Nothobranchius furzeri: one gene and its partners. The protein of the gene in region 3 interacts with the protein of the main gene of each other region in a pairwise test. Links are inferred from orthologs where the notes say so. Each region holds a gene or a part of one and is shown on either strand. Other genes may lie near its edges. The genes, in order: unc119a1, pde6d and arl15a.

Region 1 (3,755 bases), on a different chromosome or scaffold from region 3:
CATCATGAGCAGCAAAAACAACACTTCAGGTGCATGAATTCAGGCAGGAATTTCTTTGTCTTTCTGCATAAATATTTGTGTAACACTAAACTGACAGGGGTGTAAGGTAAAGTTTAAAAACTGATGTAAAATCCCGATGATTTGAACCATTTTTTGACAGGAGCAGAAGATTACTGCTGTCATGAAACTCAAATCAGAGGTTTTTATGAACTTCATTTTAAGATCCTTTACACTGCTGTCAAATCATCCAGCTTTATTCCAGAGAAAAATAAATGTCCACGTCATAAAACACTAAAGATAAAATGAAAAATAGAATGAGCATTAAGAATCTGTGATAAAAAATTGAATGCATTCCCGGTAACAAAGCAGATTGTTCCAATGTCTAAAAAGGCTCAAGTAATGGGTTTTTTGTTTTTTTGTTTGTTTTGTTTTGTTAGTTTTATTTTGTTTAATTTTGTTTTGTTTTGTTTTTGTGTTGGGGTGTTTTGGGTAAAAACGATGAGGAATGCCTGCTAAACCTGACATTGGAGTCACCAGGAAGTGCTACAGCATGTTGCTGATAGTGCTTGTAAATAACTGGAGAGTTTCATTTAAATAAATTTGTAAAGCTGTGCACAAACAGTAAAAACTATTTTGAGGAAAATCAGGAGGTTGGGACACTTTAAGGAAAGCAGAATAACTCAGACAAGTCCAACAGTCCTGTTAGGATGCGAGCTGTATTTCTCCAAACTGAGGCCGTTCAGGAAGCTAACAATGCGCAGAGAAAAATGGCATGGTAATAACACGATGAGTATATTATTATTATTATTATTATTATTATTATTATTATTATTATTATTATTATTATTATTATTATTATTAAATGAGCACTGTTAATTGTTTTCCTCTGGGATTAAATAAAGTATTTTTGAATTGAATTGAATTGAATTAATGGTGCCTCCTGGACTATTATATTTACAGCTTGTGACCGTATGTCTTTAGTAAAGTTCCAGCTGTGTTGTTTGGGCTGTGCCGTTTCACCAGATCAGGATCCAAAGATAACCTGGAAGAGGCAAACACATCTCCGAGGTGGGAAACCAGTCAAAGCCAAGTGGTGCATCAGCAGATAAAAAGGGAACAGACGGGCAGTCGTGCGCCATGCCTGCTTTAGAGCAGGATTTGGATTAAACAGCTTGTGAGAGGAAAGCAGGGAGGGAGGGAGCTGAGAGCTGACTTAATTTTTTTTCTCCAGCATCTAGAAGGGGGGTAGGCACCGAGAATGAGTTCTTCTTGAAGCAACACGGAGCTGGTTGTCTGCTTTGCTGCACGATGATTTAGCCAGCGCGCGCAACTAAACGCTCCAACGCATCCGTTTTTTACGACAGCATCACCCAAGAAAAAGCTTCAGTTCGTGGCTGGTCGCGCGCCGAGCTCCCGTCTTCTGCAGGACATGAAAGTGCAGCAAGGCTGCAACTCATCAGACATGGGGATTCCGGTGAAAACCGAGGAAGAGCTGCGTGGAAATACCGTAATAACACCTGAGGATGTGCTCGGGCTCCAGAAGATCACCGAGAGTGAGTAACCTGCTGTAATGGGGGGGGGGGGGGGGGGGGGGGATTATCACAAGACCATTGCTACCATGGACAGCGACACAGCCTGAGACGATAAGAGTGTCTTCACAGCTTTAGTGTGCAAGCAGGTTCTTCTTGTTCATAAGCAGCTGGTTCATTATTTCAAATTTTCTGCAATTGATTTTGTTGATTTTACTTTTTATTACCTTTAAAAGCGTTTGTTCACTGACAGAATAAGGATAAACGAGCCCTGGAGACATGAAACAACTATGAAGAAAGTTGGCTCTTACCACTGCTTTACCTGAAGACACCTGCAGCTCTGACTTAACAGGTGTCCAGGGATGTGATCCTCTAATTATAGCTCAGTGGAACAAAAACAGGTTGAGTAACTATTACTGTGCTGTTCATCATATAAGAGAAAATGTGTTGACGCTACGTCAGCTGGACTCAGACAAAGTCTGACTCTTTCATTGAAACATTTTCTCTGTGGAGACGTGTGGACGTCAGACTTTTGTCTGAGTGCTGAGGGAAATGTTACACACTCAGGCTGAATTTAGCAATAAACACAGAGCATATTCCATATTTGTGGAGTTAGCTTGGAGCTCGCATCAACACCAAACATCTTAGAGAGATCATCTCTGGATTTAGTTTTTTTCATATTTACAGAAAATATTAACTTTACAGATCAACTTTTAGCGTTGTTGCTTTCATTTATTGCTTTCCTTTTAAAACAAGCACCGCTTACGCTGGAAGATGATTATAACCGTTTTGGAGACAAGGCCATCTTGCACAATAATGCAAGACCTTATCTGTTAGATCTCAGAGGACGCGTTGGGGATGGTATCAGACACTATCATGTGAAATAACAGCTCAATGTCCATGAAACTGATTAAAATTTCAACATCTCTATGTCCTCAGTGGCCACCTTGGATCGGTTGCAGACATCCTTTTAAAAGTTATTTTCTGAGACTTTTAATCAAATCCGTCCGATTATCAGACAGAAACAGAAACAAACATGCACATGCAGAGGCAAAAACATTATTACCTGCAGTTTTATCCACAACTCTGTGAGGAAATGTGAGCAAATCCTCACAAATGAAGCTGAAAGCTGTTAATGTAGCATTTTTTTTATAATTTTAATCAGCTGACCCTTTTAATCCAGAAGACTTTAATATTTAAGTTTGCAGGTTGCTTTAAGTGTTGCTAAACATGTGTTTATCCAGCTTATTCTTGTGTTTAATGACAACTGACAAAAATTCTAAAAACTGCTATATTGAGCGTCAGCTGCCCTGATCTCTAATAATCCGCCTCAGTATCAATGATAGTAAATCCCACATCAGGCAACTTCTCATCATGTAAACAAATAATTTACAAACGCAAACATGCTGTGTGTCAAAATAAAAAGAACAAAAACCACATTTCTTTAAATTAGGTTTACTTTTAATTTAATTCTGAATTGTTTGATTGTAAAAAGTCATTAAATCAAAATAAATGAACATGAGACGGTGGAAATAAGCTGCTTCATTGACGTTAATCTGTGTTAATAGAATAAAATTATAATTACAATTGGCATCTCCAACAAACAGGTCTCTACTTTTTATTTAGTAAACTTTAAGTTTAAGAGAAGCACAGAGCTTGCATCAGTGTGTTAAATCCTAAATCACTTATGATGGTGTACTAATCTCTGCTCTCCAGTGACATGTAATCTGGATTACGTCAGGATGGCTGTAACACTGCCTTCTGTAATGATTACACACAGGTAATAAATAACACTGGATTAAAATGATAATAGAACACCCGAAACCCAAAAATAGCAACAGTCTAAGATTGTTCCTGGTTGTTTTTATTCCACACCATGACAAATCCATGCTGTAATCCAGCAAGACTTCTCGGTTATTTCAGACACTGATGGAAGAGATTTTAAAATGTCAGAATTGCAAAAACAATCAGAGATTTTTGAGGGCACATTTCGCCATTCTGCTGTCACCCAGATTCACCCTGTCACACTTTGGTTCGATGTTCAGAAGTGGAGCAGGTAATCACAAAGGCAGCAACAGGAGAGAAATATAATCCAAGGATAAGAAAAGCACTCTGGGAACAGGAGCAATGAAAAATGATTATTTTTCAAATAAAGGCCTTAACACAAGTGTGGATCTCATAGAATTCTGAAACCTAACAGAAACAAAGGTCCAAACTGGTCAAAAT
Region 2 (3,755 bases), on a different chromosome or scaffold from region 3:
TTGCATTTCAGGATCTTCTTTGGGACACGAGCTGAGACAGGAGAGGAGACATCACGGTTAGGTCAACACGTCCAAACTACTGGATATTATCAACCATCAGATTTGTTTTGGAGCCCACAGGACAGGGTGAAACCCATCACTACTGAATATTTACTTTTTATTAACCCTCTCGAGCTTAAAATAAGTTTTGATAAAAGGAAAAACTGCTCATGAAATACGTATGTGGAGTAACCAGGTAGGTAGGTTTTAACGTTGCAAATCTGCAACGCCTGCCTCCTGAGGGTTGAAATGATCTAGAACAGCTGTGAATAGAGTCTAATAATATAATTATTGATTTGTTAAACTTGGAAATAGAGGGAAAAAAATTCAGCTGCAGAAAAAAAAGGAGGGCAAAAACAAATCCTAACTTTTATCATTAGAGATAGTGTCCCTTTTTGGTAATTCTTTTGAACGTTGATTGGTTAAATGGGTGTTAAATAAGGCACTGGTTGTGTGGGAGATTAGTTGAATTTGCTTTTTGGGCGTAGAAATGTAGAGGTAGTCAGAAACTCAAAGTATTTGCCAGATTATTTTCTTAATCACCTCTTTACCCTTTGTTTAACATGTTTCTCCTTTAAAATCAAAGATAAGCGAGCTGAGAGATCTGAGGAATGTGAAGCGGTTATGTGAATTTTGTTTTGTCACACTTTGTGCCAATTTGTTTTTACTCCCATATGGAGTCTCAAATAAAAGTAATGAGCGTGTCATTTACCCATCTACTGTATAATGTATGCTGCGATTTACCTTCATGTTCGACTCCAGGTACAGACAGGTCCTCTGTTCCCTGCCACAGCACCTTACCCGTCTCTGCATCCCGAAGGTTCATCCAATTTCTGCCAGCACGATGTTAAGTAAAAACAGGCAAACACGGCAAAGAGAAATGGAACCAGACCCTTTCTGCACCCACCCTGATTGTTCCTGGGCAAAATTCAACATTGAACCAGAAAAAAAACATTTAATCCAGTTTCTCAGAAAAGGTCCAACAACAAACAGCAACAGTCTGCAAAATTCTCTGGGAACAAATGGGAAATATTTAAATCTCGCTGAAATTATGAGCTTCCTGGCATCTTACAGTTGTTCGTGCCTTTGCAGTTCTGGGGTCCTCGGCTTTGGAACCACAAGAAATCAAACAGTCCACATCGCTGCCCACCTTTAAAGCAAGGCATAAGCTGCATTTGAGATCTGTTTCTTCGTTGTTTTTATTTACATTTTAATGTTTTCGATCACTATTTAAATTGTTTTAACCTCTTTTTTTTAATTGTTTTTTTATGTTTTCATCTCTGTATTTTATTATAGAGCTGTTTTATTGTGCTGCTTCTTTGCACTATGTTCAGCACCTTGGACCCCCTTCATTGGGGGTGGGAAGAGGCTTTATAAATAAAATGATTGATTGAAACACCATCCAACCTAGAAACTCCCTCTAAACTCAGACGACTCAGAACATGGGCAGTGTCTGGATATCTATAAGCATTTGAGTAAAATCACAGATTGAAAAAAGTAACAGCTGCAGCTCATGGCATCACTTACGGACATCCCAGCTTCCTCAAGTAAACTATTCCTCCTGCTTCGTGCAAACAAAATATATTAAAATTAATGCATTTTTTTATTTTCTTTTGATGAGATTGACGATTTTCTCTAGAATCCGACCAGATGGCAGAGGTGCTGATGGGGTTCACCGGTAAAGTTGAACATGCCACAGAAATCACCTCTTACAATATTTGTTGTCATCACGTAAAACATTATAAAAGTCATCACCACACCACACAGCTGTCATGATGAACTCACGTTTGGTGCTACAGTGAACAGAGTGCTGACTTTATGAAATATTTTCCTCCCTCAAAATCAAGACGGTGCTCGTGGCCAAAACTTTGGCTCCAATTAAAGGTGGAGTTGAATGTTCCACTCTGCGGCAGAACCACTTAAAAGTTTCTAGTTTGATTCAAGGACTTTTAAAAGGTACAGCCAAAAGAAACGGTTGCTAGCAAAGGTCCTGTTCAGGTTGGGTAGCAGCACACACAGGGGGCCAGCTGCAGCACCAATCCACCTGAAGTCCTCACGCAAAGCTGCTTACATATGGAGCTAACGGAACTAGCAGCTTCCACGACACGCTCAGACAACATGTTTGATCGGTAACAGCCCCATAAAACCGAATTTAATCAGTCACACCAACAGGCAGCAACTTACAGGTTGTTAGCACGTCGGAAATTTTGCCATTTAACGGTTAGTTAGCATGAACAGCTAGCTGTTTTAGAATCTTAGGAGCCGACTTCTAACTGCAGCAGTAGTTATAACAACACATCAAGCTTAACCGTGAAAAACATTACCATCACCCAGTGGAAGGATACAGTTTAAAGCCCTTCAAAATCTCCTTGGCCCTTTCCTCACTCCGAGACATCTCGGGACAGTTTCCGTTTATTACCGATTATCCAGAATGTGGGGGGGAAATGACGCCGTTAACTTTATCGTAGCAGGCCAACCGGACAGTCGAAATTCGCCAGGAATAGAGCAGGCAATACGAAATTAATCCAGAACAGTTAGACTACAGGATAAATCCGATTCCAATAATGCAATCAGCTAAACATACCCGCCCACGGACAGACAGCTCTCACAGCCACTCAGTGGGAACGAGAACTACTACGAACCAATCACAGCGCGTGAAAGAAAAGTAGGCGGGACGGAAACGGATAGAGCGTTTCGCCGTTAAAACCAAACACCAGTTTCCTCCGTAAGCGATTCCGTACTCTCACCTTATTCCAAAAATGCATCCTTTAACAATTAAGAACTGTTCTTTTGTGGACAGGAACTGCAATAATAAAATCCTTAGATGTTGGCTCACTGACGCCCTCTTTCCCTTACCTCTTAGAAGACGGGAATTAGTGCGTCAATTTAGTAATTCTGATGTTAAAAACATTAGATGCAACTATCCCAAATTCCCAATCCCTCCTAAAGCCAAGGAAGTTCATTTTAAAACTATAAACAGTATTTATCCTTGCAAAGATTTCTTGCAGTCTAAATTTAATATTGGAGAGAACAATTGTGCCTTTAGCACTTCTAATATAGACACTGAGATACATTTATTTTTCACATGCATCTTTACCAAAATTTTCTGGGATAGTTTTCACTCGTGGTTAACGCATAATAATTTCATTATACGCTCCTTATCTTTTTCTGACATCAAGAATGGTATTAGTTTGGAAAATAAAATGCAGCAATTCACTGTCAATAATTTGATTATTTTCGCCAAATTCTTTATACACAAATGTAAATTTGGCAACATCAAACCGATCTTTATTGTTTTTTTTTTTAAAGAACTTGCATCCTTTATGGATTCTCTTAAATTATGTAGTTCCAAGAAAGCCATTTGGCTCTATAACAATTTGGTAAATGTTTCCTTTACCCCTAAAAATGTTGATGTAATATATATACACACACACACACACACACACATATATATTTATATATATATATATATAGTTATGATTTCTGCAGGTTGATATTGAGCTAGGTTAATATTATTGTTTCTGTTTGTACACCTGCTTTATTTTGTCATGCTCAGAATTCAACTGTAAATATTGATTCTTATGTAAGCCTGTAAGCTTTATTGGTTAAATAAAACTTGTTTAAAAACGTAAGCGATTCCGCCATATTGGCAGGGTAAACTTGTCAAAAGTACAAACCAACACAAGCCTTCCATGCAGCATGCTTCAATAGGATGG
Region 3 (3,655 bases):
AATAGGGGGCTTCTGTGACTTTAGTGGGTTGTACACCAGCGCACCATATCCACATCATTACCTAACCCAACTATATCAGGGGGATTAAAAGCTTTGAGACACGAATGGATCAGGTGTACGACTTCACATTTCCCTTTGCAGATTTCATGTTACTGAAAAGCAGCTACGCCGGTGGTCTACGGTGAGATACACAGATGGTCTTCTCTCCAGGCGTTCATCATAGTTCTCCATCAGAATCATTAAACAGGTGATGTGTGTGTGTGTGTGTGTGTGTGTGTGTGTGTTAATGTGAGGGGAGTTTGTGAGTGTGCAGAGAAGTGAGGTGTCAGGCACAAGTGTGTGCTTTGCACAGGGAATGCTAGCCATAACATCCTACAATAAAGGGCCCTTTCTGTCAGTGAGTTAGAGCAGAGCTAGAAAAAATGTCCGTAGAACTATATTTATGAGGAGGTCAGTGGCTTGTTCATCAATTTCCCGACGCAAATCATAGTTTTTGAGTGAGAAAAGACGTTGTTGCTGCAAAGCGGTAAAAAAGCATATTCAAATAGATCTTTATTGGGAAAAGCAATTGTTAAAATAAATAGCCTTAAATGCAAATTAAAGCTGAAATGGCACATCTGCAACACAAGCTAGCATTTAAACACAAACATGATTACGGAAGTCTCTCCCCTTCTGATATGATCCCTAGGCCTGGAGGGGATAAACAGGAATCCGCATTGCCCCGGTAAGAGAGAGACCCCTCTAGACCAGTCACAGTTTTCTGGGTCCAAACGTATTTTGTTGTCTGTGACTTCAAACGATGTTTTTCTTTATGGGACTGTTAGTTTGTCCTAAAGTAGAAGTGGTAGCAGCTGGCTGTTTCTCCTTCTCTGATTTTATTGAGCTGCAAACCTCTCACACCACAACAGAGGTGTTCTGCTGCAAAATGTGCGAGTGCGTGATGAATGGCGGACCCAGGTAAATGTGGAAGTGAGGTGGTCCAGTGAGACAGGCAACCAGATGGTCCATTCGTTGGTTTCGGACAGAGCCAACCTATTGGATCAGGTTTTTAAATGAATGTAAGAAAGCAGTTCATAACTGTTTCCTGTTTTTTACCTTTACGATATATTTATAGCTAAACAATGTTGGAACGCTAGAAAGCCAGAGGCATGAAACAAATGTTTTACGGGCAAACGGGTGCCACCGGTCCGTCCGGCCACCACTAGCAGGAGAAGAAAGTGAAGGAAACGACTGACATAACTGACTGGGTTGGAACCTGATTCAGGGTATCTGCAGGTTTAAGGGAGTCAAATTTAAGACTTTTAAGACCTTTTTTAAGGCCACTTTGACCAAATTTAAGCTATTTTAAAAATTTAATCTAAGCTATAATTTCCAGCTATTGCCTGGAACCGGTGCTAACCACGTCGCGAACGTGGGATTAGCCATCCAGTTAGCATTAAACTTGCACTTCCCCATGGCGCAAGCTCCCGCTAGCTTAACCAGCTAATGTGCTCATCTAAAAATAGCCCCCTTTCACAACCAGCTGAGTGTGTACGGTTCCGCTTACGGCAACATCGTACACAAAAAAAGCTGAACACTAACTAGAAATTCACAAAAATTTTGTAGAAATAAAATAATCTTTTTTATTGGGTCTTTGGTAATTTAAGACCTTTGGAAACTGTATTTGAGGATTATTTGTCATTTTTAAGGATTTTTAGGGCCTTAAATTTGGAAAAGCTAATTTAAGACTTTTCAAGGACCCGCAGATACCCTGCTGATTACTGAGCCACCATTGCACCTTTGTTCTTCTTCGTCATTGCTGGGGTGGTTGGGTGTCACCCTTGCAGGGTAACTTCTGTAGAAGCAAACTGAGGTCTAATGTGTGAATCAACACGTCTCCTTTAAGCTCTCTGGCACAGACACCAGTAGTTTCCATTACTTCTTGAGTGGCTGAGCGTTATCTACCCCATTAGGCCATTCACAGTGGACTTGCCTGCATGTTCAAGGCCAGGCTGCAGGTGTAGACACTGGTTTTCCAATTCAATGTGCGGTTCCTCCTACCAGCCAAAATATTTTCTAAAAGAATCTGTCGATGGATTTAATTATGGCTCGAGGGAACTACTTGCCTTGGAAGGTTTAACCAAGGTTGAGTCCAACAAATCCAAACCTCCGTTCGCAGGGTCGTGCAATCGCATTCACTCTAAACCATTAAACTGTAATTCTTTATTAAGTTAGAAGACTGACAAGTGATTACACTGAACACAGATTGTGTAACTAAAGCAGTGAAAGTGAAAACATTCATTCTCTCTGTTAGAGAAGTTCAACGATGAGTATGTCAGCATGTGTGCAACGTCCAATACGCCAAACTGTATTTTTTTTTTTTCAGATGAAATGTGTGGAAGGGGTTGTTCTTATGGTGCATAAGAGGAAATTTCAAAAATATTTAAAACAACACTGTAAAGAGGTCAGATTACCTGACTCGGCGTTCTTGCTGCAGGTTTGTCCTGATGATTGGCAAGAATAAGGAAAGGCAGTGTGCAGAGCTGTGGGTGCTGCAGAGCCGAGTGGAGCTCGTTCCGCGCCGCCTCCAGGTCCTCGTCCGATGAGGCGCTATCCAGTACGAAGACTACACCCTGTGACCCCTGGTAGTACCGACTCCAGTATTTCTTGATGTTGTCAGCTCCTGCAGACAAATATGAGGCAGTTTTAATTTCTAAACACAGCTCTTTTATAAATAAAGTTGTGGCTGTCATAAGAAAAGGGTTAATGTCTCAAAAAAAGGTACTGTACAGACATTTTGTAACAAACGACAGTGGTAACATGGAACCCACCCAGTTTCTTGATCTGTTTGTCATCAGCTTTCAGTGAATTATTAAAGAGCAAGTCAACCCCTACCAGAGTCTAACTCCACTCTCACTTCATGTTTGAAAAATGCAACAAATGCTGTTGCCTGGCAGACTGAGAAGGCGGAGCTGCTAACAAATACACACACACACAGGCTCACGACAGCATTGTGACATCATAATGTACCAGTTTTAATCATAGCATACCTCTTAGCCAATAGCGGTGGCAGATTTAAATTAAAATACAGTGCAGAGTTTTTACCTGACAACGGCACAACACTGCCAATTTTAGGCAGAAAATTTAAATTTTAACCAAGATGCACTGAAATGCCAAATTATTGACTACACGTGTCTGCAGCACGATTAGACACTCGTTTATTTAGTTTATCAGCAAAAAAAAGTTTATTTGGGGGTGACTTGCTCTTTAACCACAGCTTCCCAAACGTTGTTCAAAGTAATCCTGTAACTCTAGCATTCACGAAGAGTCCTCAAGTTCTCTAAATGATTCAAGTCAGGTGAGTAACCGAGGGAGGTCACTTTTTGGTCAACTTTGAAGCTTTGGCTCTCTACAAAAGCAGAGGAGCTCTTGGATGCTGTGGTAGATTAAGATGAGCTCTTGACCCCCGTGGAGGCCTTCCCGTACAACTGCACAAAAAGGATTTTCTAGAAACCAAAATGTTTTTTTTATCCATCAAATAAAAAAAGTCTACAGGATGAAGCGTTCACAAATGATAAATGTAGAAAGAGGACAGAACATAGATACAGCTGATTTGTCTGCAGACAGGAGAGGCTAACCAGTTGAAAACTGGCTCATATATATATATATATATATA

What was found.
Region 1: the proteins of arl15a (region 3) and unc119a1 interact in binary tests that used the Homo sapiens proteins (3 or more experiments, as listed by UniProt). The link is inferred for Nothobranchius furzeri from reciprocal best matches to the Homo sapiens genes ARL15 and UNC119.
Region 2: the proteins of arl15a (region 3) and pde6d interact in binary tests that used the Homo sapiens proteins (3 or more experiments, as listed by UniProt). The link is inferred for Nothobranchius furzeri from reciprocal best matches to the Homo sapiens genes ARL15 and PDE6D.

What each region holds. Positions count from the first base shown.
Region 1 is NC_091753.1:37,598,343-37,602,097, forward strand, and holds the start of unc119a1 (protein unc-119 homolog A), read left to right. Parts: upstream 1-1,003; 5' UTR 1,004-1,429; coding exon 1,430-1,553; intron 1,554-3,755. UniProt on the Homo sapiens protein: Involved in synaptic functions in photoreceptor cells, the signal transduction in immune cells as a Src family kinase activator, endosome recycling, the uptake of bacteria and endocytosis, protein trafficking in sensory neurons and as lipid-binding chaperone with specificity for a diverse subset of myristoylated proteins.
Region 2 is NC_091756.1:55,092,218-55,095,972, reverse strand, and holds the start of pde6d (retinal rod rhodopsin-sensitive cGMP 3',5'-cyclic phosphodiesterase subunit delta), read right to left. Parts: upstream 2,641-3,755; 5' UTR 2,435-2,640; coding exon 2,385-2,434; intron 873-2,384; coding exon 784-872; intron 32-783; coding exon 1-31. UniProt on the Homo sapiens protein: Promotes the release of prenylated target proteins from cellular membranes. Modulates the activity of prenylated or palmitoylated Ras family members by regulating their subcellular location.
Region 3 is NC_091757.1:56,429,074-56,432,728, forward strand, and holds part of arl15a (ADP-ribosylation factor-like protein 15a), read right to left. Parts: intron 2,663-3,655; coding exon 2,454-2,662; intron 1-2,453.